Regions from separate parts of the Mus musculus genome. Here regions 1, 2, 3, 5, 6 and 7 are each reported to be linked to region 4. The links are microRNA targets in miRTarBase. Many come from high-throughput screens and were not tested one by one. Region 4 holds a microRNA gene; each other region holds the end of a gene's coding sequence. Distances are from middle to middle.
Evidence for each region. Region 4 holds the annotated microRNA mmu-miR-876-5p (UGGAUUUCUCUGUGAAUCACUA, at 1,579-1,600, shown strand). A microRNA usually pairs through its seed, bases 2 to 8, with sites in the 3' UTR of a target mRNA and lowers its output. Matches are read on the target gene's strand: a 7mer-m8 pairs with bases 2 to 8, a 7mer-A1 pairs with bases 2 to 7 and ends in A, and an 8mer does both.

Region 1: the mRNA of Mzt1 is a reported target of mmu-miR-876-5p. Seed matches in the 3' UTR shown: 8mer at 1,562-1,569.
Region 2: miRTarBase lists Mmachc as a target of mmu-miR-876-5p. Seed matches in the 3' UTR shown: 8mer at 1,294-1,301.
Region 3: miRTarBase lists Pde4c as a target of mmu-miR-876-5p. Seed matches in the 3' UTR shown: 8mer at 2,743-2,750.
Region 5: miRTarBase lists Spib as a target of mmu-miR-876-5p. Seed matches in the 3' UTR shown: 8mer at 2,708-2,715.
Region 6: miRTarBase lists Rbm34 as a target of mmu-miR-876-5p. Seed matches in the 3' UTR shown: 7mer-m8 at 2,512-2,518.
Region 7: miRTarBase lists Ddhd2 as a target of mmu-miR-876-5p. Seed matches in the 3' UTR shown: 7mer-m8 at 2,162-2,168.

The regions. Positions count from the first base shown.
Region 1 is chr14:99,032,498-99,036,825 of GRCm38, reverse strand. It overlaps Mzt1 (mitotic spindle organizing protein 1), which reads left to right. Exons shown (of 3, transcript NM_175245.4): 3 at 316-2,282. The coding sequence ends at 336. Among named protein-coding and RNA genes, the nearest start is that of Mzt1, 11 kb to the left of the region's middle.
Region 2 is chr4:116,699,942-116,704,306 of GRCm38, reverse strand. It overlaps Mmachc (methylmalonic aciduria cblC type, with homocystinuria), which reads left to right. Exons shown (of 4, transcript NM_025962.3): 4 at 440-1,873. The coding sequence ends at 850. It overlaps Prdx1 (peroxiredoxin 1), which reads right to left. Exons shown (of 6, transcript NM_011034.4): 6 at 4,307-4,365. Among named protein-coding and RNA genes, the nearest start is that of Mmachc, 6.3 kb to the left of the region's middle.
Region 3 is chr8:70,749,456-70,753,777 of GRCm38, reverse strand. Pde4c (phosphodiesterase 4C, cAMP specific) reads right to left here. Exons shown (of 17, transcript NM_001310465.1): 17 at 2,592-3,937. The coding sequence ends at 3,671. Among named protein-coding and RNA genes, the nearest start is that of Rab3a, 3.1 kb to the left of the region's middle.
Region 4 is chr4:36,642,657-36,647,021 of GRCm38, reverse strand. Mir876 (microRNA 876) reads left to right here and starts at 1,569; the gene lies at 1,569-1,649. The region is part of intron 2 of Lingo2 (leucine rich repeat and Ig domain containing 2); the gene reads left to right.
Region 5 is chr7:44,524,100-44,528,464 of GRCm38, forward strand. Spib (Spi-B transcription factor (Spi-1/PU.1 related)) reads right to left here. Exons shown (of 6, transcript NM_019866.1): 6 at 1,896-4,158. The coding sequence ends at 3,860. It overlaps Mybpc2 (myosin binding protein C, fast-type), which reads right to left and starts at 570. Exons shown (of 28, transcript NM_146189.3): 1 at 472-570. The coding sequence starts at 490.
Region 6 is chr8:126,945,649-126,949,940 of GRCm38, forward strand. It overlaps Rbm34 (RNA binding motif protein 34), which reads right to left. Exons shown (of 11, transcript NM_172762.3): 11 at 1,524-3,895. The coding sequence ends at 3,587. It overlaps Tomm20 (translocase of outer mitochondrial membrane 20), which reads right to left and starts at 273. Exons shown (of 5, transcript NM_024214.2): 1 at 1-273. The coding sequence starts at 76.
Region 7 is chr8:25,724,305-25,728,656 of GRCm38, reverse strand. It overlaps Ddhd2 (DDHD domain containing 2), which reads left to right. Exons shown (of 18, transcript NM_028102.1): 17 at 920-1,027; 18 at 1,294-3,333. The coding sequence ends at 1,001. Plpp5 (phospholipid phosphatase 5) reads right to left here. Exons shown (of 7, transcript NM_028000.1): 7 at 3,770-4,352. Among named protein-coding and RNA genes, the nearest start is that of Plpp5, 6.4 kb to the right of the region's middle.

The DNA of each region.
Region 1 (4,328 bases), not on the chromosome of region 4:
TCTTTACACTATAGTAAAAAAAAACTAATGAAGACCTTGGAAAACAAGTTATGTGTTAACTCTTAAAGAAGTAGTACATTTTACATGATCTCTATTATATAAATGACTCCTTCTTTTTATAATCTGGCAGTAAATTTAAAATATCTGATAATACAACAAAAAATAAAAATCATTGTATTTTTCCAGTAAAACCAATTGAGTTGTGATGTGGAATAACTAGCTGTTTGTTAAATATGGTATAGGTAGATTTACCTCCATGGTTGTCTTAACTATGGTTTCTTAAAATAATGGATCTTGCTCTCTTGTTTTGTCTAGGCTGCTGAAAACACAAGCTGACTTCCAGAGAATTCCTGATGAGATATGTCAAGCTTAGCAAGAAAATTTGAAGATTCCATCATAGTCAAGATATAAAATGACAATGCTGCATGCTGAGTAGAAAATGTTTTCTTTTACAAAGAATTATAAAACCATGGCTGAGCATGTCAGTGGGAAGTGGCTTGAGCGAGAATCAGCACGTGTGTTTACATCACGTCTTGTTGTAATGGCCCCAACTCCAGAGTGTTGCCACACTTATTTATGTATATTTATAGCTCTGCTAGCTGTGAGTTTCTAAACAGCATCTACCCGACATGCACAGCTGCTGAGCCTGTTTGAAGTTAGTGGGTTGTATCAGAGGTGATGTGTAGTAGTTATGACTTGTTGACATTACCAATATAAACCTTAATTTTGAATTGTTTAAGCATAAAAACTGGCTGTGTGTTCCATTGAGCTGTAAGTTAATGGAATTTGAGCTGCTGTTTGTGAAGTTTTCTGTTTCACATCTTGTTTTTAAAAATAGGATCCAAAACATCTCAAATCATCTCCTTAACAGAATATTTTGTTTTTTACCCAGTTTTTGGCAGTTAAAGGTGTAAAGAAGATCATTTTTATATTGCCGAAAACTTAGAACTTTTAGAAACTTGGATTTTTAAAAAGGAATGCCAGGGCTTGACTTAGCATTATTTGTAGTTTGAACCATTAAAATCTAATAAGAACAGCTGAAATGCATTTCTCTGTAAATCTTATAACCACATAAAGGTCCACAAAATAATGTATGAAGTGAAAACAGCAAACATACAAAATTCCTTTTTAATGTTATTGCATAAAAACAATAAGCTTACTAGCGAATCTTGAGTGGCTATTAAGTCAGTACATAGGTGGTGTATTTCAACAGATTAATTCATGTTTTCTAAAGAAGTAGGATTTCCAGTTGTTCAACAAAAACTAATGAAATATGTACCAGTATTATTTGCAGAAAATGTTTGTAATTTTTACCATTAAAGCTTTTAACTCATTAAAATGATGGTCAAAGATAAATTTGAAAAGCTGGATGGAGTTGCTTCTGCCCCTGTTACAGAATCTCAGTGGGATATTTTCATGAGCTCAGTGTGTATTTAATCTGAATTTTTTGATTCTTAAATTGTTTTTGTTTTGTTTTGTTTTGTTTTTCAAGACAGGGTTTCTCTGTGTAGCCCTGGCTGTCCTGGAACTCATTCTGTAGACCAGGCTGGCCTTGAACTCAGAAATCCACCTGCCTCTGCCTCCCAAGTGCTGGGAGTAAAGGCATGCGCCACCACCGCCTGTCTTGATTCTTAAATTTTAAGTTTGATTCCATGCCAACCCTTTTTTATTTCAGAGAAGCCAAGGTGGTTTTAAGCCACTTAGTAATGAAGTAGCTGTTTCCTCTGCTCTGAGACTCATCTCGTCTGCTGGTCAGTAGTCCCTGCTGTCAGAGGCTGAGGCCGAGGAACGGTGACTCGCAGGCCAGCGTACGCTGCTTAGGCAACAAAGTGAGACCTGATCTCTACAGACAAAATCTTGATTGTGATTGTTTTGACTTTTTACATGTATGGCATCTTTACTAAGTAAATTGAAAGGTCTATTACAGGCATCTCTTCCAAGTTGGGAGACAGTAAGAACTTGTAAGAACCATTTGATTAGTGATATGCATATATTGTATATTATTTTTAAAATCAGAAAGTACTTTCTCAGATTTCACAGTTTGTATGTATTTCTAGACCACAGAGTTGGTTGGTAGTTTTATTTTTGATTTTGTAGATTAAGTTATGTGTGAAACAAACTAGGAAATTATATTTAGGAAAGATTATGTTTAGAGAGAACTTCCTAATTGTGTCACATTTTTAGATGTAAACATATTTTTAATGAGTACATAAGTAATATTTAAGAAACCAGCGATACATGTTTGTCACCAGTGACAAAAATAAAATCATTTTGTGTTATTGGCCTTGTCCTTTTGATATACTGTATACTTCTGTGGGTTCAGTTCTGTTTTTGAAGGTAATCTAAACTGAAGGAATTTACTGTGTATAAAAATGTTAAGATGGCTATGATGCATCGTATAATTACATCTTAACCCTGAGTATGGGTGGGATTCTTTTTTCCTGATAGTGAGGGGAAATTATAATAATAGCAGAAATTATTATAATAGCAGAAATTATTATAATAGCAGAAATTATTATAATAGCATTGATTTGGCTTTACGACTAAATTGACAATTCAGATAAATATTGACAATTCAGATAAATATTGACAATTCAGATAAATGGTTTTTTTTTCTGTATCTTTATGTGGAGAGTCATAAAATTTATTTGCATGTTCAAATATGTGAACATTTCCCAATATGTGAACCAAATATGTTTCAAACATTTAATTAAGAACTCAGTTCCTTGTTTCTTTAACTATTTTATGTTGTAGTGAAATATAATGTAAAATGTATGATGAGTTCTAGTGAGTTAAATCGAGCAGCTTCCTGACATGAAGAACCTGCCATTGTTGTGTGACTCTTACCATATTTACAACATTGTCATCATCTCAGACTGAAACAGCACGCTAATTAGTGATTCCCCATCCCTTCCCCTGACCAGGCATTTTTTCTGCATTCTGACCATTAACTTAATCCTAGGCGTCTTCTATAAGTTGCACCATATATTATCTGTCCATTGTTGTCTTCCTTCATCCAACATGACGTCTCTAAGGATCATCCGTGTCACAGTGCATCACTTGTCAAGTCTGAATATCCAGTGCAATGAATGAATGTGCTGTTTTCCTTGTTCACTCATTGGCACGGGGGCTGTTGGGAGGGATGCTATGAACACTGGCGTGAAAGTGTCTCTTTAGAGTCTTGCTTTTGAGCACTCTGCATATACAACATGGAAGGGCAGACTAGAGAGGATGTTATGACAGCAACATAGGCCTAAGTGCTCAACCTAAGATGATAGATCCCAGAAACATTAGAAAAGGAGATGGAGTTTAGTGGGGAGCCGTGGGGGAGTCACTAACACAACTGGGATTCTGAATGCAGGGTACCAAATGGAAATCAAATTGCCTTAAACTGTTTTCATGGAAAGATCTAGCATATGTGTTAAGCTTTATTCTTGCTGACCCTCTGAAGGCCCTCAACTGTGTCTCTTTTTCATTGTAGCGTGTTTATAGCTGTTTGCAAGTATAGTTTAGTGATTGTTAATTCCCATCTGCCTCTGAAAAAACAATACAAGTGTAGGTAGTGTAGATTTTGCTTTATTTTGTTCAAAGATGTTGTATTTTGAGAAGTATATAACACACAGTAAGTACTCAGTAAATACACGTTAGGCTGAATAGATAAGCTGGATAACTAAAACTGCAGCCACCATATGCTTAAAGTTTTTTAATGTACAGAGAACTTGCTACCTTCAGAGCACAAGCCTTGGTGTTACAGCACATCTGGTTGTTTAGTTAGCCTTCCAGTAGCTGCAAGAGGTAGCACCTTCAGCTTGTGATGAGTAACAACTTCCATGAGGCAAGGTGTGGCTGAACAGGTAGCTAAAATATAGACGGAAGAGTCAAGATGGGATCCCAGAGAAGCTGGCTGGAGAGCCCATAGACCTCGGTGCTCTCCCTTAATAACCAGCCCTCCCGTGGCTGAGGAGTGATGGGAAAGTGAAAGCTGCCCGGGGTCAGGTGCCTGAGTGTATGTAAGGTGTGGGAGGAGATCACCCACATGGGTGCTGACCTCAAAGGCACCTCTAGTGAACCTGCTGGGATGGTCTCCTGATATGTTTCCACAGCATCTCAGAACATCCCCACTTCTGCCTTCTGGTTAGGTTGACAAAATAAAGCTGCATCTGGGGGTGCAAGCCTGTATCCTGCCACTTAGGAGACTGAAGCAGGAGGAAGGCAGGTTTCAGTCTCGCTCAGCAATGGAGCAAGGCTGTACCTCAAAATTTCAAAAGAAAAGAGGCATCTGGTATTTCCTCCGTCAGGCCCCAGGTTTTATACCTGTACTGCTTGAC
Region 2 (4,365 bases), 80 Mb from region 4:
AAGAGGGCATCAGTTCTCGTTACAGATGGTTGTGAGCCACCATGTGGTTGCTGGGATTTGAACTCAGGACCTTCAGAAGAGCAGTCAGTGCTCTTCACCACTGAGCCATCTCTCCAGCCCTAGATTTCTTAATTTAATAGAAGGGACAGAGCCTTCTGCATGGAATGAGTGTGCACTGAGTGGGAAAGAATTAGAAAAAGATTAGGAACATTTGTTGCTTTTGTATGAACCATGTTCAATCCCAAGCACTCACGTGGCTGCTCAGAACCATCTGCAACTCGTTTTTAGATTGACACCCTCTGCTGGCCGCTGTGGGTACTGCTTGCATGCAAGCAAAACACTCATACCCATACTTGGGGGATAAAAAGTTTCCAATAGTCGTTGAACCTAGTGTCAAAATGACCTCTGTAACCCTGCTTTTTCTTTGTCCTCTCCCCAGCACATAGCAGGTGTGTGCATACACCCCCGATTTGGGGGCTGGTTTGCCATCCGAGGGGTTATGTTGCTGCCAGGGATTGAAGTGCCAAATTTGCCACCCAGAAAGCCCCCTGACTGTGTGCCTACAAGAGCTGGCCGCATCACTCTGCTTGAAGGTTTCAATTTCCATTGGCGGGACTGGACTTACCGTGATGCTGTGACTCCTGAAGAACGGTACTCCGAAGAACAGAAGATCTACTTTTCCACCCCACCTGCCCAACGCTTGGCCCTATTAGGCTTAGCCCAACCCTCAGAACACCCTAGCACTACATCTGAGCTTCCTCTTTCCTTGCTTACTAAACCTCAGAATTCCAGGAGAGCTCGAAGCTGGCTGAGTCCAAGTGTCTCACCACCTGTATCCCCAGGCCCTTGATAACTTTTCCCCTTCAGGATCCCACTCATAGTAGATTTATTTTAAGTAGGATTTGGGTTTTGAAAAAAACACTTTCTCCTTTTTTAGTTTTTTTGAGACAAGGTTCCTCTATGTAGCTCAGACCAGGTTGGCCTCAAGCTAAGAGAGATCCATCTGCCTCTGTCTTCTCCAGAGTGCTGATTTTTTGCACTGTGGAAAAACCATTTTATTTTAGGTAGGATTTCCTGATAATAGTGCTTCAGACAGTCAAGACTCAATTTACATTGGTCAAGATAAATCATATGCCAAGGCAGACTCAAAAATCAGCAGTTGACTTCAAATATTAGACTCATGCCCATTACTATTTTTTTGTTTTTGTTTTTTGTTTTTTCAAGACAGGGTTTCTCTGTGTAGCCCTGGCTGTCCTGGAACTCACTCTGTTGACCAGGCTGGCCTCAAACTCAGAAATCCACCTGCCTCTGCCTCCCGAGTGCTGGGATTAAAGGCGTGCACTACCAAGCCCGGCTTTGTGTAGTACTCTTAAGATACTATTTAAGAACCATGGTTCTCACTGTTCGTTCCTAAAGCTGCTATCATTTAATGCAGTTCCTCATGTTGTAGTGACCGCAACCATAAAATTATTTTTGTTGCTACCTAATAATTTTGCTAGTTATGAATCAATTGTCTTAGGGAATCCAGTGAAAGGGTTGTTCAACAACCCCTGGGGGCTGAGAATCACAGATTTAGCAGCTCCTAGGGGTACCCACCACATTGAGCTATGCTGAATTAATATTTAAGTAAACTACATTGAAACTGCCCCGACCTACAGTGTGCTATTACTAAAGGCTCAGGCAATCTTATACTTATGCTCAAATAGATGTACTTTGAATTCTGGAATGTTGGAAGGACATGATGTCATAGGATTATTTTGTCAACCCTAACCAAGAATCCAGAAGAAACTTCCTGACTTTACAGGATCAGAAAGGAATATTCTCTCATCACAGCTAAAATACAAGTAGTTGAATACAATCATATCCAAAGCCACCAACTTTGTTTGCCTGTTTGTTGATTCCAGAGATAGTTTCCCAATTCTGATATTTCAAATTTCACTCCCAGGGTCCAGGGAGGTTAGTTGGTAAATTGTAATGTGCTGTTTTTACTTGTTGAAAACTAAAACAGGAGACAGACCAGTCTCAGACTCAATCATGTTTCCTTGAACAGGAATCCACCCCCGCCCTCCAAACCCTGCAACAGGGAGGGAGAAGCAAACTACTGAGGGTATTAAGGGATCTGCAACCCTATAGGTGGAACAACATTATGAACTAACCAGTACCCCGGAGCTCTTGACTCTAGCTGCATATATATCAAAAGATGGCCTAGTCGGCCATCACTGGAAAGAGAGGCCCATTGGACTTGCAAACTTTATATGCCCCAGTACAGGGGAACACCAGGGCCAAAAAGGGGGAGTGGGTGGGCAGGGGAGTGGGGGTGGGTGGATATGGGAGACTTTTGGTATAGCATTGGAAATGTAAATGAGTTAAATACCTAATAAAAAATGGAAAAAAAATATCTAATAAAAACTAAAATAAATTATTAAAAAAAAAAAAAAAGAAAGAAAGAAATTACACCCAGGAAGGAGAGAGGTTAAGGGCACTGGATACTCTTGTAGAAGTCCTGAGTGATTCCCAGCAATCACATGATGTGACCTGGTGCTGTCTTCTGGCCCGCAGGTATATGTGCGGGGAGACCATGTGTATACATGACATGTATATAACATGTATATAGTAAATCTTAAAAATGCATCCTGAAAACTGGTAGGTGTAACATTTCCAAGGTTAGTGTTACTTATTCCGTGATATAAAAATGTAGTGGCAAAAGGGAAAAAGAAGCCCTAATAACTTTTTCAAGCACTTTGCTGTGCCCTGCCCAGAACTCCAATGTTCCATACTTTGGTTGCTGGGAACAAGGGGACAATTATTGGAGCTTATTGGCCAGCAAAGCTCAGTAAGCACCCAGTTCAATTAAGACTGCCTCATCAGGTGGCTCACAACTGCTTCTCATTCCAGCCCCAAAAGGTCAGACACATTCTTCTGGTCTACAAACAAGCGAAGTGTTACCATGTAGCCTAATCTAGCACTCATCTATGAGATTAAAACTTGACAGGCCCAGTGGTCATTCCTTTTTCCTCCTAGATTACATTCATATTTGTGGGAGAGAGGCATATCACAGTGCATTTATGAAGTCAGAGGACAACTTGTAGGAAGGAGTCAATTGTCTCTTCTTCCACCATGTGGCAAGTATCTTTAATGTGGTGGTTTGAGTAGGCACAGTCCCTAGACTGTTTTTGACTGCTCGGCCATAGGTAATTGCACTGTCAGTAAGTGTGGTCTTGGTGTGAAGTGTCACTGTGGGAACAGGCTTTGAGGTGTCCTATACTCAAACCACACCCAGTGTGGCACACACATCTTTTTCTGCTTAGAACTCACAACTCCTTAGCCAGCACCATATCTTCCTGTACTGTGCCATGTTTCTCACCATAATGGACTAAATAATGACTATAAGCCAGCCCCAATTAAATGTTCTCCTTTTTTAGAGTTGCCATGGTCAGAGTCTCTTAACAGCAATAAAACTCTAAGATACCCAATGAACTTCTTATTGGCCAAGTCCTATTTATTTTGCAGAGCAGACAGACACTAGGCATTTATCCTAAGAAGCAAAAATTCTGTTCCATGCAACCCTCCCAGCACTAAACAGCTCAAATAAATCTTTCCCAGACTTGCCTATAACCCAGCAAACATGAACTGCAGTGCAATGGCTGAGAGGACAGCAGGGCTTGGGTCTGCTTTTCAATCTAAAATATTGTTAAACTAAAAACTTTCTTCTGTGTGGGTATGTGTACTGAAGCCTTTTTTTCCCTTTAAAGACCAGGCCTAATGCATCACACAGGTGAACCTCTGATCCTTTTGCCTTCAGTTCACTAGTACTGAGATTACAGGTGTGTACTATCACACCTTGTTTACATGGCAATAGGGTTATAACAAGGCTTGTGCACACTAAACGTAATAGTTAACTTCTGTCAACTTGACAGTATTTTTTTTTCATTTATTCATTCACCCAGGAGAAGAAACCTCAATTTAAACATTTCCAAGATTAGAGTGGTCTGTGGGACATTTTCTGCTTCAGTTCCTCCTTGAAGTCCTACCCTGACTTTACCTCAGGTATGACTGTGACCAGGAAGTATAAGCCAGATACTTTTTAGTTGCTGTGTTCAGCAACAAGTAAAACAGAATACCAGGCAAGCACTCTACCAAAAGCTTTGTCTCCAGACCTGAGGCACCTTTCAACCTTTCAAACCCAATTTTCTAAGAAAAACAGGGGCTTTGGAGATAGTTCAGCTGTGACATGCTTGTGAGGAAGCAATTTACTCCATGGAACTCCCATTTAAAAAAAAAAAAAAAAGCTAGGCATGAAGCAGACAGTGGTGGCACACACTTTTAATTCCTGGCAGATTAAATAGGCAGGTAGATCTTTCAGAG
Region 3 (4,322 bases), not on the chromosome of region 4:
CCCCAGAGAACCCCTTGCTTCCTTGCGCACTTAGGGCTCAGAAGTATCCTGACCCATAAGTCTTCCAAAATTGTAATGAAAGACCAAGGAAGCAGAGAAGATTCAAGAGTAGCTGCCCAACGCCCTTTACGATATGGACACTGGGACCCGGGTAACCCTGTGTCTCAGGAAGGTGGGCGCAGAAATGCAGACTTCCAAGCCGCTATGATACACACGACTCATTCCTGCAAATCTGCCTGTCAAGGTGGGAATCTGGGGTCTATCCTATTCTTCCTCTCCGTGCGGCCGGGCAGGGTCCCCATCGCTTCCATTCCCACAGGAAGCAGAACTGGGAACGTGTCCTGGCCCTGTTTATAGACCTCCCCGCCAGCTGCGGAGGCGCCAATGGACCAGAATAACTTGTCGCCTGGATGCTCGTCCACCCCCGCGAGGAGCCTGGAGCCCCGCCCAATCCGGGGCCGCTGGAGGAAGCTTATTTCCTGCTTCCCCTGCACTTCATGCAGAGACACAAAGTGACCATCAGTTTGTTACTTAGCGAGCTCCGGGCCCACGCGGAGGCTACTGTGGGGACCGGGACCGGGTTTGAGGACAGAAAGGGTGCAGGAGGAGCCTGGGACACTGGAGCCTGATTTGGATTTATTCCGAAGGGATAAGGTTAGGGGAGGAACCCATTTGCTTCCACCACCAAGCAAGGGCTCCAGGAGAACTGTGCTGGTAGCTCAGTAGGTGGCAAGGCTTCATCGGAACACTTGGAAAGCTGAGGCAGGAGGGTTGTTGAGTTCTTTATCATCCTGGATCACAAAGTGAGACCCTGTTTCATACTATAAACGTGTGCGGGGAAACTGCTGGCATGGTAACAGAAACCTTTAATTACACAGCACTTGGGAATTTCTGAGTTTGAGGCTCCCCAGAGAGGACAGCACAGCTGTCTGGAAGAATGAAGCAAGTGTGTTAAAGGCCTGGGCAAACAAGAGCACAGGCAGAAGAAGGGACAGAGGGAAGCTGTTCCTCAAATCTTTCTAAGTTATATTCATTTATTTGTGTTGGAAAGAGGGGAGTGTCACAGGACAACCTAGGAAGTCAGTTCTTTCCTTCCAGCACAAGTCCTAGGAATGGAACTCACGTCATCAGGTTTGTGTGACTTCCAAATTCTCCCACAGTGAACACACATGACTTTGTTTAACAAGAAATCTCTAAGGGTCGCCTCTTAAGACATCTGGAAGGAAGAAGGAAATGTTCCAGTGTGTGACCCCAGATGGCCTTTTGTGCCTCCTGGGGATGAATAGCCCGAGTCATAATATTTACAGAGGAAGTCGCCTGCCACTCTGGCTCCTTGGAGGCCTTGGTCAGGTGCAGAGTTACAGGCTCAGAGGGAAAAAGGAAAAGGGAAAGAGAGGGACCCCCCCCCCCCCATGGCACATGCCTGTTACCCCAGCCAAGCACTCGAATGGTGGAGGCAAGAAAATAACGTTAGTGTCATCCTCTGCGGCAAACAAGTCTGACATTAGAACTTGAGACCATGAGACCTTGTCTCAAAACGGCCAAAGAACTGTTTGGAAAACAAACAGGGAATCAGTCATACCGCCAGGGGGCACCAGTGCCCACTCTTAGTATATAAGCTCTGAGGGACTAGTTATGACTCAGTTTCCACACAAGAGAATGAGTAGGTGTCGCGGCTATTCCTGGTTGTCAACTTGACTATATCTGGAATGAACTACAATCCAGAATTGGAAGGCTCACCAGTGACCCTAATCTGGAGGCTTGGAGATAGAAGTTTCTGATCTGGATCTTGGTATGGAGATCTTAAGACATAGTGGCTATGGCTTCCAGAAGATTAAGACAGGGAGATCTCATGGGCTGGAGAGATGGCTCAGTGGTTAAGAGTACCGCTGCTCTTCCGAAGGTCCTGAGTTCAAATCCCAACAACCACATGGTGGCTCACAACCATCCGTAATGAGATCTGACACCCTCTTCTGGTGCATCTGAAGACAGCTGCAGTGTACTTACATATAATAAATAAATAAATCTTTAAAAAAAAAACAAAAACAGGGAAATCTCTGAGTTCAAGGTCATCTGTGATTAAAGGTGTGGTGGCACACACCTTTAATCTGGGCTACACCTTCTGCTGGAGACCTACATAAGGACATTGGAAGAAGGAAGGCTTTCTCTCCTTCACCTGCTTGCCGTGTAGGACTGAGCAACTGCTAGATCCTTGGACTTCCATTCACAGCTGCTGCTGACCACTGTTGGGAGTTGAACTGCAGACTCTAAGTCATCAATAAATTCCTTTACTATATAGAGAATACCCATAAATTCTGTGACTCTAGAGAACCCTGACTAGGGAACGCCTATGGTGAAGAGAGGTGTGCCGGCACTCTGGTTTGAGAAGCCCAATCTTGTCAGAGACAGGGATCCTCATTGACGGGAAGACTGAGGCCTGCAGTGCTCTTCTATTTATTCTATTTTTGCAGTGATAGAAATGGAACTCAGGACTTCCCAAAAGCTAAAGCTCTGTTACCAGAGCCACACCCCAAGCCCCTCATTGGGCAATTCTAGGCAGAAGCTCCACCCCTTAGCCACACTCCAGCTACTTTTTTTTTTTTAAAGATTTATTTATTTATTATATGTGAGTAACCATTGCTTTCTTCAGACACAAAAGAAGAGGGCATCAGATCCCATTTCAGGCCACACAGTGGTGGTGGCACATGTCTTTAATCCCAGCACTTGGGAGGCAGAGGCAGGTGGATTTCTGAGTTCGAGGCCAGCCTGGTCTGCAGAGTGAGTTCCAGGACAGCCAGGGCTACACAGAGAAACCCTGTATCGAAAACAAACAAACAAAACAAAACAAAACAAAAAACAGATCCCATTACAGATGATTGTGAGCCACCACGTGGTTGCTGGGATTTGAACTCAGGACCTCTGGAAGAACAGTCAGTGCTCCTAACCACTGAGCCATCTTTCCAGCCCACTTCCAGCTCTTTTTATTTCTAGTCAGGCTGCCCAGCCTGGACCAGCTGTCTCCACACACACACAGCCAAGTCTGGGGGATGCCTATGGTGAAGAGAGGTGCACCAGCACACTGGTTTGAGAAGCCCAATCTTGTCGGAGACGGGGATCCTCATTGATGGGAGGACTGAGGCCTGCAGTGGTCTTCTAGGAGGGTCACCGGCCTCCTGATATCTAAGAAGAGTCTTGTGCAGCCAATGGTGTCAGGAGACACCAGACCTCAGTGGGAAGTGTTCCCCGCCCGCATTTTACGAAAGGGATTCCCCCGAGGGACTCAGTAAAGGCTTGCAGCTGGACTGGTGAAGGCAACATTGGTTCCATCTTTAGTGCCAAAAAAGAAACCAACTAAACCATAACACAGAGTCCGACTGCATGTGCTGAAGCTGACGTGCAGACTGCAGCTGAGTCTAAGTCTGTCTTCTGAGATGCAGGAGTCGGCGCTTCCCAGGGCTGGTGCCATTCCAGTCTGTGGGCAGAGCTGGTCCCAGCCTCCCTCAGGCTTGGCTCTGTGTAAACCTTGGCTGTCCTCTTTGAGTGGTGGAACGTCATCAGTGCCCATAGGTGCCCATGGCCTGACCAGGACTCCACGGTCCACACTAAGCTAGCCCAACTCTTGTTGGACAAAGCAGACCCTGGGCTCTGGGCTGGCCTTAGAGGACAGGAGTTAAGTGCTGGGTAACTCTGAGGACTCCCTGTTCAGTGCTGTGCACTGCCCTTCATCCTCCTCTTCCTCCTCTTCCTCTGCTTCCTCCAGGGTCAGCTCAAACTTGAACCTGTCCGAGCCCATGGTGTGTGGAGGGCTGCAGGGAATCCTACTCTGATACCACTCTCTGTTGTCTTCCAAGGTGTCCAGAAGCTCCTGAGCATCGGGGTGCACTAGGTCAGCCCATGTCTCCCACAATGGCTGAGCGATGTAGTCAATGAATCCCACCTTAGGGTGATCACAGAAGGGGCAAGTGAGACCCAGTGAAACCTAGAATTAGTCCCATCTCACAGTTGGCCACCTGGTGTTCTCAGCCTGGAATTCTCATTTGCCAACTCCTATTCATCCTTCAAAATCCTCTTGAAAAAAGCCATCCTGGCACAACAGGAGGAGACTGAGGCAGGGTGATCTCAAGCCAGTGAGTTCTAGGCCAGCCAGGGTGACAAAATGAGATGTCTTCAAAACAACAAATCAAAACATCTGCCCTAGCTGGCTGGTGGCGCACACCTTTGATCCCTGCACTTGGGAAGCATAGGCAGGCGGATCTCTGAGACAGAGACCAGCCTGGTCTACAGAGGAGGTCCCAGGACAGCCAGGGCTGCACAGAAAACCC
Region 4 (4,365 bases):
TGTCATGCACATTTCTCAGGCTTAATGTTGCTTAGTATCTTTATTTTCTAATTTCTCTCATTTGTTGTCTACAATCTGGACATGCTTGCTAGTTTTCACTTATATCTAAATTTTGTGTAATTTTCTACTTTCAGCAGTAGTGTAGCAGAGAACAGATGACATTTTAATTTCTTCTTTCTACTGTTTTTAATGTGCCCCGTCTGCTTCAAATGTTCTAATCCTATCCTCATTGCTAAATTGTATTGTACCTTCAATTTTTCAACTAAGTAATTTCTCACAGAAACCTCCTGCTATGACTGGATAATGTGGACTCTAAAGCAATCTATGTGGACCCTTTTTAAGGAACACAATTGTTCTTGTTGGTTTTATTTATTTTGTTTTATCTGTTTCTTGAAGCTAGGGTATGTATTGGGTTTGCATTTACTTCCTTATACCTGGCAAGCATTATGTACGTCATATACCAGCCATACGGTAAGTATATATGAATGTGTAAATAATTTTACAATTTATTTTCCACTTAAAGTTTTTCCTTGCTTAGCCAGCCAGTCTGGCCTTACTTCCCTGTTTTACTTGGGAATGCACAGTGATATGTAGTGACAGTTTTGAACACACTAAGATGTTAGATTTGCAAATTTCTGAAAAATATTGTATGTTAATTATTATTGACATTCATGGTATACATACAAAAAGTCAAAATTCTCAAATCCATAGATGGCCTGAGAGATATAATCCTAGTCCATTAAAATTTAAAAATTATTTTCTTTTTAATGATCATAAATTAAAATTCTAGTTTTCTTTTAAATCTTTAGATAAATGTTACCATTGAAGCAAACATAACAAAGGAGAAAAACGAAAGATGTTTCATTCCTGTGAATTTATTAAAGCAGTGCCCATTAGAGATTTTTTTCAGTTACTTTGGTGTTTTGTTTTGTTTTGTTTCTCAAAGCTGAACCTAGTGAGGAAACTAACATATATTTAAGTAGCCTCAGAGAGTTTCAGCCAATCACATGCAGAACTCAAACTTAAGATAGAAAAAAAATCAGATAAAATCTAAGAACTTATGCAAAATACATGTAGGCTAACTGAGACTATTTTTAGAGCAAAACAACCACATCATGTGTATGTTGTAATGTGAGATGCACGTATGAAATGTCATTCCTTATTTTACTTCTCTCCTCCCACAGGTTATATTAATATCCATATCTCAATTCTATGAGCATAGTGGGCATTTTACTTCTCTTTCATCTCTTGGTTGTTCTTGCTCATTCCTCTAATTGATCTACCTTGATACATAATACGGAAAGTATAATTTGGTTTTATGTATTTTTCAGATTTTTTCAGTGTTTCTTATTATTTTACCAATTAAAAATGTATATATTATAATACTATATATATAAAACCTGTTGATTCATGAATGTTTATTCTCTTGCTCAAATGTTGTTAAAATTAAATTAAATTATATTTTAATGCCATATGAACGATAAAAAGATGTCTTGAATAATTTTTCAAACTCTGGGCATGGTAGCATATAATTTTTATGTTCATGTGTACAAGCATTACATAAACTGTCACGTGCTATGGATTTCTCTGTGAATCACTATATCAAATCTAGTGTGGTAGTGGTTTACAAAGTAATTCATAGTGCTTCACAGGTGCTCCTACAGTTGATCTGTATTTTGAAACCTAGGATCCTTCATTGGGCCATTGAGAACAAATCCTTAAGCTATAAGATTTAAACCTTTCATAAACAGTTACTTTGTTAATTAGAGAACAAGAAGCAAAGATATGTCAAGCACTGGAAAATTAAGCTACATATATTGTAACTTGCTTGTAATATAACACCTGAGAAGCTGAGGCAGGAGGATGGCAGCATTTGAGGACTGCCTATTACATATTGCCAGGCCATCTCATATCTCATATATATATATATATATATATATATATATATATATATATATGTATATATATATATATATACACACACACATATATATGTGTGTGTGTGTTTGTGTGTGTGTGTGTATTTTACATTTATGCACAGTCTGTTCTTGTTTTTTTTAGCAACACCTGCCCCAACAATTGGCAGTATGCCCTATTTTTAAAAATGCAGTAGATCCAAAACAAAAGCACTGAATTGACATCTGCACCCATTAATTATAAGTGAAACATTTTGAAATTTAATTCTGTTACTATTACTTGGACAAATATATATATATATATATATATATATATATTAATAAAGAGGAAACATTTTTACAGAGAGCTTATCCAGTGACTTTACTGATTATGCAATTCAAATAGAAATTAATCAGGGAATTTATAAACATCATTATTTTAAAATAATTTTAAAAGTAACTAAATTTTAATACTATTCAAATGATACAGACACAGAATTAGCCAAAATATACAAAATTGTATACTTAATTTGCCATTATTTATCATTAATTCTCTACAAATTTAGCTTCTGTCATCTTTTAATGGCAAAGAAATTTAGTAAGAGTCTAAAGCCATCGTCAATGTTTGAGAACTTGGATTGTGCATCAAGAGAACCAGGGTACAATTTGCTGCACACCTGCATCATATGCATCACAGAAACCAATAAGTTCAGCTGAAGAGATCTGACACTCTCTATCACTCTCTATTGGCCTATGTTGGACCTTACACTAATGTGCATGTTCCCACACACAGATGCACTCATATACATACTCATAGTGTTAGAATAATCTTTAAAATGAGTAAGTTTCACAAGGCTAAAGAGTATAGTTGCTATCATGTTACCTACCAGTTGCTGGGAAACAACAGGAAGTTCATGGTTATTACCCTCATTAGTGTTGTTAAATGTGCTGATTCTAGAAACAGAAACCCAACCTTTCACCATTAGTTTTTCAATCGCTGGTATAAGCTCCAAAAATTTTGTTTAGTTTTGGTATATGAGCTCTTCTATTTGAAGGCTAGAACTTAGGTGTAATCTAAGCTCAGTCATATGGCAACAAGATTTTCGTAGTGATAGATTGTATTTATCTCCGATTTCTTGTGACACCATTACATTCCTAAATGATAATGAACAGGATTCTGAAATTACTTATGAATCATCATTGAATCAATCTATTATTTCTCTTCTGAAGTTATTTTTGTCTTGCTATATTAGAGCTAATACATCTTGTTTACAAGTTTAGGTATCATTACAATGTCCTAACAAATCAAAAAGTTTTTCCATTATACATTAAAAAATAAATCTTAAAAATAAAAATATATGTTACATAAATAATGATACTTTATTTGAGCCTCTGTAATTTAAATAAATCACATATGATGCAGCTGGAGAGAATCCCCACAAAATTATCTCCAATTTTAAAATAGGGTTTGAATGTGTTATCCTAATTTCTTAGGCTTTACTTCAGCATCAGTTATAATTGTCATTATTTTCAATTACAACTGCATATTTCTTTTTCTTAATACTCTATATTTCTAAGTATGTTCTTCATAGCAGTAAAACCATGTTATGATTGAAAATTCCACTCCTCTTAGAGAAGGGAATAAATGAAATAGAGCCAGAATAACAGGTTTTGGGCATAAAGCTGTTCTATAGCTTTGTGATTTGTTACTGTTTTTTAAAGAGATGCTTATCATATTTCCTCTGAGCTAAAGCTTGGTTTTAATGCCAATATTTAGTATTGTTGCTATGTAAATATTGAAGTAAGCGACAGAATTTTCTAAGAGATTTTTAGTTACTAGACCTAACAACAGGGTCACCAAATTTATCAAATAGCCATATATCCAAAACTCTTTTCATAAGTCTAACATCAAGTTGTATTTATATTAATATACTACTGGATGCTTTTATTCCTACTTTAAGTACATATAAGCAGAGTTACAGAAAAGCAGTTAATTTTAAGTGTAGTTTGGATAGAACATAAACTCTAAATTGGACTTGCCCTAAACACTCGTAAATTTTCTAAAATCTATGTGAAAATATATATTTTGAAAGGAGTTTACTAGGCCAACTTTATTCAGAGAAACTAGCAGTATTTATATATTGAGAGAGATTTATCTTGAAGACTTTCTCAATCATGGAAGTAACACAAGTCTACAACATAATGGGAGATGCCAGTAGACTAAGGAACTGGAGTTCAAATCTGAAGGCTTAAACCCTTCTCTTTTTAAAATATTTTTATTGGATATTTACTTTATTTGCATTTCAAATGTTATCCCTTTCCCCTGTTCCCACCCCCCGAAACTCCCTACCCCCTCCCACGCCCCCTGCTTCTGTGAGGGTGTTCCCCCACTCACCTACTCCCACCTCCCTTGCACATGAATCCCCCTATTCTGGGGCATTGAACCTTCACAGGACCAAGGCCCTCTCCT
Region 5 (4,365 bases), not on the chromosome of region 4:
TCCAGTCTTGGTAGACTGAGGCAGTATGATTTTAGGACTTCCCAGCCAGCCTTAGCTCCGGAGTGAGTTTGGGGCCAGCCTAGGCTGCAGACTTTGAGGACAGCCTGGAGGGCTTGGGGGCAGGGGTGGGGTGAGAGAGCAAAGAGAGAAGGGGAGAGAGAAAGAAAACCGAGGCCAATTTATAATTGCACAACTGAGATTTCTACCCAAGATGGGTCTCCCAGTCCCCGAAGAGGAAGGGGACTCCTGACCCTACACAGACAATAGACCTCATGGTCCTGCATTAGGAAGGGACCCATCTGTGCACACAGAAAGGGTCCCTCTTCCCCAAGCAGGAAAGGAACCTACACTCTACCTAGATGTAGGAACAGGCAAAGGACCCCCTCCTCCCATAGTAGAAATCCCCTTGTGTGCACCCTACCCTCCACCCCATCCCCACCCCCACCCCCAAGAAGGTTTCGGGCCAGCCACCTGGTTTAGCCTCAGGCATGTCGGCGACCTTCTCCTGCTCCCAGGACTTGGGACCGCAGTGGCTCTAACCAGGCCCTAGCAGGGACAGGTGGGTCTCCAGGAGGAGCCCTTTATGGAGTCTCGAGACTCCCAGGAGGCAGCGCAGGGCCGCCCCGCATTCCTCTTGCATGCTCTAAAGGGCGAGAAATAGCGAGCAGGCAGGAGTGGAGGGATGCCAAGGCCCTAGTGGGGATGGGATGTGGTGCTTAGACACCTGAGTCTGTGGAGGTGCAAAGGTGAAGACTGCGTGACCGCAGAAAGAGGGGAACTGGAACCCCAGAGTCTGGGGGCACAGGGGTCCAGATTCTTAGGTCCTGGATGAAGTGGGGGGGAGAAGGAGGAACGAGAAGTGGCCAGAGCACAAGATGGGGAGAGGGGGGAAGCAGAGAGGGCACTTGTGTGGGGGCAAAGAACGAGGAGGAAAAGAGAAAAGGAAAAAAGGGAGGGAAATCCTGGGTCTTGGGAACGGGCGTGGGGGGCTGGGAGTCTCAGGTGCACGGGGCAAGCGGGGCGGGTTCTGGAAGCCTTTCTTAGCCCCAGTCAGGAGTTTTCTAGAAACCAGAGACGGGAAGGATAGTCCGATTTCCCCCGCGTAGGCAGGACGGGTGCCGGCCTCAGGGAAGAGTTCTCGGTGTCCCTCCCGCCCTATTCTGATCCGGGTCCCAATGGGAGCGGCCTGGCCGGCTGCCCGTCACCGGCCAAGTGCAGAGAGGCCGGGAAGGCCCTGGAGAGCTGCCCAGGCCCGGCTCCTTCCCAGCACCAGAGGGGAGGAGCGGGTAAGGAGGAGGAGAGGGACACTTGGGGAACCACAGGTGTGGCTGGCCCAGAAGGGTGTCAGAGGAAGGAACCAGGGTATCGAAGACAAGCTGTCCTCCCCCCCCCCTTTTACTCTTTGTGTCCCTCCCTCCTTTCTACTTTCAAAAAAAAGATCCCCTAACAGCCGGAAGCTTCCTGGCTTCTGGGGGCACAAAGTCCTGTCACACCATTGGTTGCAGTGCAAAAACTTCCACCTCGCTCCCTAGGGAGCAGGCAAGTTGCACAGCAACCCATTGTAGTAACACACCCCTGTAACCCGGAATTCCAGAGACTGAGCTGAGACAGGGCCATTGGAGTGACTTCAAGACCAGCCTGAACTACAACGTAAGGAAGAGCCTATCTTCAAGACAAAAAAACAAAAACCGAACAGTCAGATGTCTGGAATGGAGGGGTGAGCAGAAAAGCAAGGTGGGAAACAATGGTTTCCTCATTCAAGCCCTAGCCTGGCCCACCACCTTCCTTTCTCCCTCCCCCTCCCTCCCCCTCCCTCCCTATGACTGCCACAGTCTCAGAAGAGTTCATGTGGAGGTGCAGGGGACAGTTCCTAATAAAGGGTCCCAAGACGGCTTAATTTTGATGTACACTTTATTTATTATGCATGTATAGTGGTGATGAGAAATAATTTTATTTAGTACAGTTTAGCCTTGACCACATGGACATCTGGATCTTCCATGACCCTGTTCCCCCTCCCGGCCACCCACAGAGGTGAGTTCCGGTGTGTCACAGGCTCATTGGGGAGGCTCATGGGGTTGCAAAGAGTTTTAAGGGCCTCTTCATCGTCTGTTTCTCAGAGAGACGGAAGCCTGAGTGCCCCCCTCCCCTCACTCAGGCTTCAAAGCTCTGGGTTCTGATTCTGCTGTGGATGCCCAAGACAAACCCACAGTTTGAGCCTACTTGGCCTGTAGCACTTGAACGGAAAAGACTGGGCCTGAACAGGCGGGTGTGAGGAAGTCACTGGTGTGAGACAGACAGGCACTGAGCAGGGTCCTGGGCAGACACCTGGACAGAGGCCGGCCCCAGAAAAGCTGGCCAGAAGTCACCAGTTGTCCAAAGATTCACACTTAGATATCTGGGTGGCGGGAGTGCTTTCTAGCTTGACAGATCACTATGAAAGCGGGCTTTCCTCCAAAGAAAGCACCTGCAGGGACTTAATTTGCCTGCCTTGTGGGTGGGGGTTGACCAAGTCTAGAAGTCTGTCTACCCATGGCGTGGGTAAGCACAGAGTAGTAAGGTATGTTCATAGTTCCAGACGCAGAGGCAGGAAGAGTGTCATGAGCTTGAAGCCAGCCTGGGCTACACAAATAGACCTTGACTTAAGAAAAAGGAAAAAGGGCGTGGTGGTGCACGCCTTTAATCCCAGCATTTGAGAGGCAGAGGCAGGTGGATTTCTGAGTTTAAGGCCAGCCTGGTCTACAGAGTGAGTTCCAGAACGGCCAGGGCTACACAGAGAAACCCTGTCTCGAAAACAACAACAACAAAAAGACAAGACAATGGAAAGAAACAGTCACGTGGTGCGCTGCCTGACATCTGAGCATTCTGGCTGAGGCAAGGGCTCAAGGTCTTCCCTAGCTACACAGTGAGAGTGAGTTCAAGACCAGCCTGAGCTACATAAGACTCAATCTCAAGAATAAAAGGCACCGGCCTTGCCACAGCCATACCTCTGCCACACATCCCCCTCAAACACAACATACAGGTCGCGCCTCAGTCAGTGTGTGAATGCAGGGCTGCTGAGAGCCTAGAGAACTTCCCATATGATCAAGGGATCCCAGAAGGAAGGGCCCAACCTATAAGGTTCACTGAACCTCCCACCCTACCTTACCCAGCCATTCATCTCGGACATAGGTCCCAGAGGGTCCCAAGGGGTGCCTGAGGCAAGAGGAGCCTGAGGCAAGAGGACTGCCACTAGCTTGAGAATAGCCCAGCCCGGGTTACATAGTAAAATCTCTCAAAAAAGGAAAAAACCTGGTGTGATGGTGCACCCTTGTCATCCCAGCACTCAGGAGGCCGAGGCAGGACGATTGTTAAAAGTTGGGGGGCCAGCCTGAGCTACATAATGAGACCCTGTCTCAAACAAACAAAAGTCATAAACGGACGCAGAGAAAAGTCACACACAGGTGGCACAGGGTTCTCAGAGAGCTCCAAACATAACTAGACCTCAGATCTAACAAGGGCTTCAGGGGGAGTACAGAGGGACCGACCTATCTGGCCAACAAAACAAGGGTTTGGGGGGGGCTGTAGACAGCGCCACCTGCTGGTGAGATGTCATGTGAGCTCACAGGACTCGCAAGAACTGCGGTTTCTGGAACCGTAGACGACATCAGGGCTCCCCCATCCCCCCCCCCCCCGAGAAACCTGCCATTCTGAAACCGTGTAGAATGGCCAGTGCTCCCTCAAACACGACCATCCTAGATTGGAATCCTATACACGGCACAGGAAACTCTGGGGAGGCTCTAGGGAGAGCTGAGAACCCTGACTGCCCTCATATGGGGCTCCATGGGACTTAGGGGCCAGAAAGGGGTCCTTAGCGGAGTGCTCAGACATGCCGGGAGGCTGGCAGCAGCGCGCTGTCAAACTGGTAGGTGAGTTTGCGTTTGACCTTGCGGATTTCGCCTGTCTTGGCATAGTTGCGCAGCGCTCGGGCCAGCTTCTGATACGTCATGCGCTTGCGGTTGCCCTTCTGCTGGCCCCAGCGGCGAGCCAACAACTCCTTGTGCTTGGAGGAGAACTGGAAGACGCCGGCACCTGGCTCCACCCACCACACGCACTCGCGCATGTCCCCGCGTAGGAGCAACCCCAGCAAGAACTGGTACAGGCGCAGCTTCTTGCGTGCACCTGCAGGGTGTTGGATACCAGCGTTAAGAGGGGGAAGTCCGTTAAAGGAACCCCCAGAGCTACGGCCCCTCGCCACCCTTAGTTTTCACAATGGAGTTGGGCCTGGTTGGCTGCAACTACTCCAGAGGCTGAGGAAAGATCACCAAGTTCAAGATCAGCCTAGGTAACTTAGGGAGACTGTCTTTTAAAAGTAAGAGGGTGAGGCTT
Region 6 (4,292 bases), not on the chromosome of region 4:
GGTCGAAGTAGATGCAGTACCCGATGAAGAGGGCACCGCACACGCCCGCGGCGATGGCGCTGTTCCGGCCCACCATCTTCGCTCGACTGGGGCGTACGCCGGGCCGCGGCAGCCCGCCTGGCAGCGGTTAGCTCCGACCGATCGGAGCACGCCGGCCGCTCGCAGCCGCCTGCCTCCAGTCCAGACGGAAAAGGCCGAGCGCGAGGACTTCCGGCGCGCGAGGACCCCGGGGGAAGGTCCGCGGCGGGCTGTCCGCGGCGGTGCCTGCGCGGGAACGCCTGGTGCGCACGCGCAGATGGACCCAGTCTGCGCGGCTGAGACGCCAAGCTGGGGGCGGGGCGTGCACTGCAGAAGGATTTGTGCGTCATCCCGTGACCAGGGGGTCAGGGGCAGCACGTGTTTGTGGCGTGCTGAGTCAGAAGCCTCTAATCCACTGTCCTTGCTAATGAAAGACGAAGGTGGGAGCCGGCTGAGAACAGCATCTCATCTCACTGTGTCCTTCAGGAAGCCTGTGACTTGAAGTGCATGCGTTTGCTTTTTAGGTTTTTGAGACGGGCTCTCCCCTTGTAGCATAGTAGGGTCTGGAACTTGCTGTGTAGTCTGCCCTGGCCTCGAACCTGCAATCCTTTTGCCTCATCCTCTGAGCTGTGGTTTTAAAGGAAGACCTGAGCCGCCTGATCTGGCAGTATTTGCTTTGTAAATTGCGTTGTGACTGAGATTAGACACAATGATTGACTGCAAAATAATTTTATGATGTAGCCCTGGTGCGGAGAAGAAAAATGGGTTAATTCGTTCAAAAAAATTTAACCTGTAAGGAATGCAGAAGGGCAAAAAAAAAAAAAAAAAAAGTCTATGGGTGGCCCTGATTTGTGCCGTCATTAAACTGCAGTCTTGTCGTTCTCTCCCTCCTCCACAACCCCCATCAAGATTCCCAACCAGCTCGTTACTAATGCTCGAACCCACCCACCACACTTGTGGCTGGCTTTTGAAGGAAAGGCAGTCTGGTACAGCAACTGCTCCCTTCACTGAGGAAACATCGAAACCTGGGACAGTGACAAGCTATGCTGCAGTCTCTGAGAATTGGGTACAGTGATAAGAGGTAGCCGATGCAAGCCTTTCCTGCACCTCTCATTGTAAGAATGCTTTTTTTTTTCATTTATGCATATGAGTGCTCTACCTGCATGTACACCTTCGTACCAGAAAAGAGCATTAGATAGCATTACAGATGGTCGTGAGCCACCGTGTGGTCGCTGGGAATTGAACTCAGCACCTCTGGAAGAATAGCCAGTGCTCTTAACTGCTGAGCCATCTCTCTAGCCCCTTTAAGGATTTTTTGAAGCTATGTTAAGGGAGAAAAAAAGTTTACAAGAAAAAAATGTTTCATACTCATGACTAATCAGTACTTAGCCAGCACTTTTATAACAAAGCCAACTTCTATCCACTCTTGACCACTTATATACATAGTCTTGTGGCTATTAAGTATTTTATCAGATAGAACGTACCAAGAAATTACACTAAGCATCTTTAGAAAATTTCCTACAAAATACATTTTTTAATGATTTACACAATCATAGTAGCACACACATTCTAAAGGAGGAATTTCAACAGTTACACAGTACCGAATTCCAAAGTATCTAGGGCCAGTGAGATGGCTGAGTGAGTCCATGCTTTGGAAGGAGAAAACTCCAGAGTTTTCTTCTGGCCTCCACATTCACATCATACACATATTAAATAAAGTTACATCTATGCATGTATATAACCTGCTCACTCACAGGAGCTGTAAGTTGTACATAGATTATATATGCACGCACAATCTAATGTTACATCTTTATATAGTTTATGCAAAAATGCTCCAGAGTGATCAGGTAAAATTGCTGAAATTTAACTGAAAAGGTTCTAAATACTGTAAGGAAAACCAACCATAAATTATCCAGTCTTGGATACAGGAAATAGAGCTTTCTCTGCTGTAAAAGCTACACACTTTTATTTATTTTTTAATATTTATTTAATGTGAGTACACGGTAGCTGACTTCAGACACACAGCAGAAGAGTGCATCGGACAGATGGTTGTGAGCCACCATGTGGTTGCTGGGAATTGAACTCAGGACCTCTAGAAGAACAGTCAGTGCTCTTAACCACTGAGCCATCTCTCCAGCCCCACACTTTTATTTTTTACTTGTATATATGTGTGTGTAGGTTATGTTAGTGAAAAAGTGCACAAAGTCTGGGGAGACTAGAGGAGTTGGACCTAGGAGCTCAAGTTACAGACAGTTGTGAACTGCTTGACGTGGGTACTAGGAATTGAACTTAGGTACTCTGAAGAGCAGTGCATGCTCTTAACCAAGAAACCAACTCTCCAGCCTCTAGAGCTATGGGGTTTGTTTGTTTTTTGTTTAAGATTTATTTATGTGTAAGTACACTGTAGTTGTATCCAGACATTCCAGAAGAGAGCATCAGCCAGGCATGGTGGCGCACGCCTTTAATCCCAGCACTTGGGGGGCAGAGGCAGGCGGATTTCTGAGTTCAAGGTCAGCCTGGTCTGCAAAGTGAGTTCCAGGACAGCCAAGGCTATACAGAGAAACCCTGTCTCAAACAAACAAACAACAGAAGAGGGCATCAGATCTCATTACGGATGGTTGCGAGCTACTATGTGGTTGCTGAGATTTGAACTCAGGACCTTTGGAAGAGCAGTCAGTATTCTTAACTGCTGAGCCATCTCTCCAGCCCCTAGAGCTATGTTTTAAAGACCTCATTAGGTTTTCTACATGGCATTTCCCAAAGACAGAACTTTTACAACTAAAAGAGTGAAAACTTATCCTACCCTCTTGCCTACTGGACTCTGCCTGCCTGAATCAGCCTTGGCTTCCTGCTTCCCCCACTTCATCCTGGATCCAGCCCCAGCTTGGTAAGATGTGTCTGGAACTTAGGGAATGCAGCACCATGTTGTCATGTCATTCAACTTTAAAGACTGCAGTTTAATTAACATCATTTATTAGATGCTGTCTTTAAACTTTCTGGGACAGCTGTTTCATTCTGAGTGATACTAATTTAAGCATCACATTTTCCTGGAAGAGTATTTTTCTTATGAGCACCCCCCCCTCCACACACACACACACCTAATAGCCAAGGACATCATTGACCACTGTAGTCACTGGCAACGAATTAGAAGATAGTCACTCTTATCCTATCAGTCTTATTGGTTAGCAATTATTAGATATATGGGATAAGAAATGTAGATCTATACTACAATTGCAAGAGAAAGAAAAATGAGAAGTGAAGAATGTGCGTGTGTGTTTTACACAGCTCACAAGTCTTTCTTAGGGACTGTGACTATACCTGGAATCAGTATTCTCACAGTGACCATTTGAACACTTATCCTAAACACAGAGTATTAATGTTTATTATTTTTCTTTAAATACATTTCTAAGAACAAGGCTTCAAAGAAGCCTTACATATAGCATGAATTAAAAAAAAAACAAAAACAAAAACCAGACACCGTGGATGCCTCCACATTTTCTACATAATCCATAAAAAACCCAGACACTCATTGCAAGGTTTCACCACAGAAAGGAGGCAACCTCAGTTATTACTGCTGTTTTCTTGGTTTCTTCATTTGTACTTTTTTCTTTTGTCCTTTCTTTTTCTTTTTCATGAGAACTGCCTTTTCTCCAATAAATGCATTCTTGGAATGGAATTTTCCTTCTTTGGAATGGAATTTTCCTTCTTTGGAAGTAAAATTAAGTCTTTGCTTAGGTTTAATGACATCCTTCTTCAAGCTTGGATTTGAATTCTGTTGTTTTAGTTTTTCTTTATTAACAGAACGCATGACTCTCAGTTTTCTTCCCATTAGCTCAGAATTATTTAACTTCAAAGCAAGATGAACAGCATCTGTGTTCTGCAATAAGGAGAAACATTAATTTCCACCAGAAAGTGATATGCAATGAGACTAGTAGGTCAGAATTCAGTGGTCTATGTCAGTCTTCAAGCTTGTACACACAAGTCCTTCTAGTCTATGCCCTAGAGGTCAGATCCAAGGGTTTGGTCAGCCTTGCTTGAACCCCTTGTTGCTCATGTTCCACTCACGGCTACAGGTGGCGCTCAAGCTGCTTCACTAAATGCTCATAATCACCACCACAGGTTCACTGTTCATCATATGATGTCTCTTTAAAACAGTAATCAGCTCAAAACACAACTTTCTTAAAATTCCTGTTGTAAGCAGAAGGCAGGAAAGTCCTCTACAGTCAGAGATGTGGGACTAGACACTAGAGGGTTCTACTTGAGTCCAAAATCCT
Region 7 (4,352 bases), not on the chromosome of region 4:
GTGGAAGTTTGCGAGTTGCTGGACGTCTCGGGGTGGAGGGGTATCAGAGTGAGAAAGATGAGAGTCTCAAGCTGGTGTTTAGGAGAGACAGGACGAGAGGAAAAGGACTCTAAACTAGGAAGTGGTTATAAATGTAAAATATGCATATTACACATATTTTTTTCTCTCTGTATGGGTTATATGTGTGCGCATGAATACGTATGTGCTCATGTGAGGTGACCAGAGGGCACTGAGTATCCTGCTCTGTCATTCTCTACTTTATTCCTTTGAGACAGAGTCCTGAGCTAGGCTGTTAGCCAGGAAGTCTCAGCAATCCTCCAGTCTCAGCCCCTCACTGTGCTGTTAACTATCCGAGCAGGTTAAGCAGCCTGGCTACTCATGTGAGTGTTGTGTTCCAGACTCAGACCCCATTCTCGCTCAGCCAGCCGTCTAGCCGCTCTCTAACCCCCATCTGATACATTGGAAATTCTGGGTCATACAATCCTATTGCCTTTTCTAAAAAGCAAATAAAGTTTAAAAATGAAGGTGATGAGCAGACAGCTGCTCCTGTTGTTTCAAGAATGCCTCTGGGAGCTAAGAGTGGGTTTATGCTTGTAGTCCTGAGGCAAGAGGCTGAGGCTGGAAGATTTCTGTGAATTCAAGACCAGCCTAAGCCATAGAGTAAGTTGCAGGCACAGCGTGGGTTAGAGTGAGACCTGCCTCAAGCAGTCATTTACCGCCTTTATGAGGGAAGGTGCCAGGACCCTTAACTCTTCCTGTTTCCAGACCACCTCCAAACCACTAGCAATGGACCTCTAAGGCACATATTTTTACAGTAGTAAAAATTAATAAAAAGCTAAGGTATTTGTATAGATTACATGAAAAGCATATGGTGTCAAATGGTTTTGTCTTTTCTCAACGTAAGTTTTTCTCTACACAGGGAATCTGAAGATACAGTATTGCTGGTTCTCAAAGAGATCTACCAAACCCAGGGTGTCTTCCTTGATCAGCCTTTACAGTAAACATGACCCATCTGTGGCTGCTTAATGTAAGTTTTCAATGCAGTGAAGTGTTTACACGTTATAAGGAACATTGGAACCTCAAGAAAAACTCACTTCGAGGACACTGGTTAAAATTCACAGGAAGTGTCCAGTAGCCCACTCAGAAAAGGATTGGTGTACATCTTACCTTGTGCTGGGGATCCCAAGTTACCACACCCAGCCTCCAGACAGGAACCTGGAAAGTCTGTATTAGACAGTGGCATTCTCTGGTGGCTGGTTCCCCTGGGTGACCTTTTCCCCCCCTCTCCCATAGATGGACACTGAGGGAGACTGTCCTGAAAACCCACACGCTTGCTGCTGCAGCTTCCTTCTCAGCTACCTTGTGTCCTGCATGCTGCCTGCCTTACTCCATGGGATCTTCCCAAGAGAACCCTCTTTGGAGACTACTGGAAAGCGGAGGGGCACTCACTGTTCTGTATGGACGCTCAGCAGGTTTTGTGGCTAGGGCGTTTACATATCCCAATGCTTTAACAGCAGCACTTCCTTGTTTCTTACATGGGAATGAATATCTGTTTAGGGGGCTTGGGGGGGGTTACTCCTTATCCTTACCAACACTACGGGTGGGAGTATAAGATGTAGAGGTACTTAGGGGTCCCGTCCCTCTGTGTGTTCTCTGTGCTGGAGGGCTGAGCATCACTGCATTTGGGAGAGCTGCTGGCTTTTGAGCCAGCTTTTCTTTCCTGGATTATATGAAGATCAGACAGAAGCTTACTAATAGCACAGTTTGCTCTGAACACTGTTACGTGAGTGGATTGTAGAACCACTGGTGCTGGTCCTGGTCCTGGTCCTTACAACTGCTTCAGCTTCTGCAACCCTGAAGGTTGTATTAACTGTGTGCCTGCTCTTTTACACCGTATTCCAAGCCAGCGGTGAAGTTGAGGACATTACTAGGTAATACTTATTTTGAAGGTCAACCTGAAATTACATGGCCCTTCCCTGCTGTTCATGTTGTAAATGCAGTCTTTTAGTAGCACCGATTTAAGTCACCTGCTCCTTCCACTTGAGTAAAGGAAGTATGTGACATAAATGTCACATTTTTTTTTTTTTTTTTTTTTGACACAGGGTTTCTCTGTGTAGCCCTGGTTGTCCTGGAACTCACTCTGTAGACCAGGCTGGCCTCAGAAATCCGCCTGCCTCTGCCTCTGCCTCCCGAGTGCTGGGATCAAAGGCGTGCGCCACCACGCCCGGCTGCGTCACTGCTTTCTGAGGTACCATCAAATTGTTTATTACAGTTGGCAGTCATGGATTTGAGCATGCAAGCTAGGCTACCTTCTGAAGGAAAACCCTGTCTACAGGGTCTGAGGAGCTGAATCTGGATAACTCAAGGCACATTGATCGTGAGGAAGGGTGACTGTACACTAAGTGTTCCCTTCCTTAGCATGTGCCGTCATCTTTGTCCTCCTCACGATTGCCCTTTAGCTCCTCTGATTTCCACAGGTCTCTATAGAGTGGCAGGAGAGGTGAGCTGTGTTTTGGTTTTTTTCCTTGTTTTGTAAACCTATCATGGTATCCAGAGGCACTGCACATAACATGCCCTGAAACCCTCAGATGGCAGTGCCCTCTACAGACAGGCAAAGGGAGGGAAGCACTGTGCCCTGGACGTTAGAGAGGCAAGCATGGTACGTCAGGCCCAGCCTGCCTTCCTGCTCATGGGTAATACTGGATGAGCAAGCTACTAAGGAGTTCCAGGTATATGGAATACTTTATTTTTTCTACAATATGTCTTGAGTAAGAATACCTGAGAATTAAGTAGTATATTCATTAAATACTAAAAAGTAAGTTTTGTCAATTGCTGTCTTGAGGTTTGTTTACTCTTGTTAGCAGAGTCATTACTACTTAAGAGTAAACCAAAGTACAACCAAGAGTGCGTTCTTGTGACCAAAGATGGGCAGCTTGGCCCTGGAGAGCTAGATAAACCCCTGCACTGAGAAAGGCTTCTTCCCGCAGTCCGGTACTTACACGTGACCACGCTGAGTGTTATACAAGGCAGTGTGGTGGCAAGGGACCTGGGTGTGGACCTGCACTGCGTCGTCTGTTATCATGCACAATCTCCTGACCAAGGCTGTTTCTAAACTCCAGGGTGACAGCATTCTGTCTGTGATTCTGTCTGTGATTCTGGCAGCACAGTTGGTGGGAGACTGTCTGCAAGGGACGATGAGTAGCTCTGATAACCTTGCTGATATTTTGCACTTTTGAAATGTTTGTTTTATATGTGATTATATTTAAGACGTTAGTAAATGCCGAAATAAAACTATTGACCATTTGCCTACATTCATGTGGCCTTATCTATCATCAAGAAAATCAATATAGTAGGCATTTTCTCTTACATGTTACTAAATTCAAAACAAAAAGTTTTAGGCAACTAACTGATGGTAAGCTCTTTTCCCTTGATGGATGTTTACATTCTCATGGACACTATAGCTCAGAATTGAAACAGAGCCTGTCCTTCAGCATCTGCAATATTAGCTAATACAACTGATACCAGCAGTTAGTTACATACACCAGATGGGAAGCCAGTCTTAATCTAGACCTGAACGGTTCTTATGAAGTACAAACCCTCAGGCACACTCTTGTGTTTCACTGCCAGACTTTCTGAGAAAACGAAGTACACTGAGAACACGTTTAAGACTATGTCAGAGCTGGGCAATGCTGGAGCGTGCTTTTAGTCCTAGCACTCTGGAGGCAGAGGCAGGTGGGTCGCTTGAGTTCACTCACACACACACAGTATGTTATAGGAAGAAATACATAAGAGAGACTTTTATTTAAAGTATAATAACAATAAAATGGTAGCTATCAGTTGGTCCTCCATACCAAGTTCTGGTGATAGCCTCTAGTTGCGCCATTTATTTCTTTATGAACAAAGGCAGAAAGTGTTGCATTTATTTTCTAGATAATATCCCTAATTTTTCTTTCCTAATGTAGTAAAAAGTAAAAAATTGGCCAAAATTGAATGTTTTATTATTTAAGGCTTAATGGAATGTTACCACAAAAAGCAAGCCGAATCAGAGTTTAGCTGGCACTGCCCTTATTTATAAAGGACAGGGATTATGTTCGGTAAATGGGGTCATGAAAGCTTCCTTTGTGGAAAGGTTTCCTCTGGAGTGACATTTAATCACTGTAGACACTAGGTCTTAGAATAGCAATCCTATGGATTAACCTAGTGAGAGAAGTCCTGACAGAGCCGTGCCAGGCCAAGCACTGAGACCTCAGGGGCTAGCCTTGGAAGTGGGGTAAAGTGCACAGCCTTGCGGAGGCAAGTACAGTGTGGCTGTGTCCTCACTTAGACCCTGAAGAGGTCAAGCCAGAAATCCT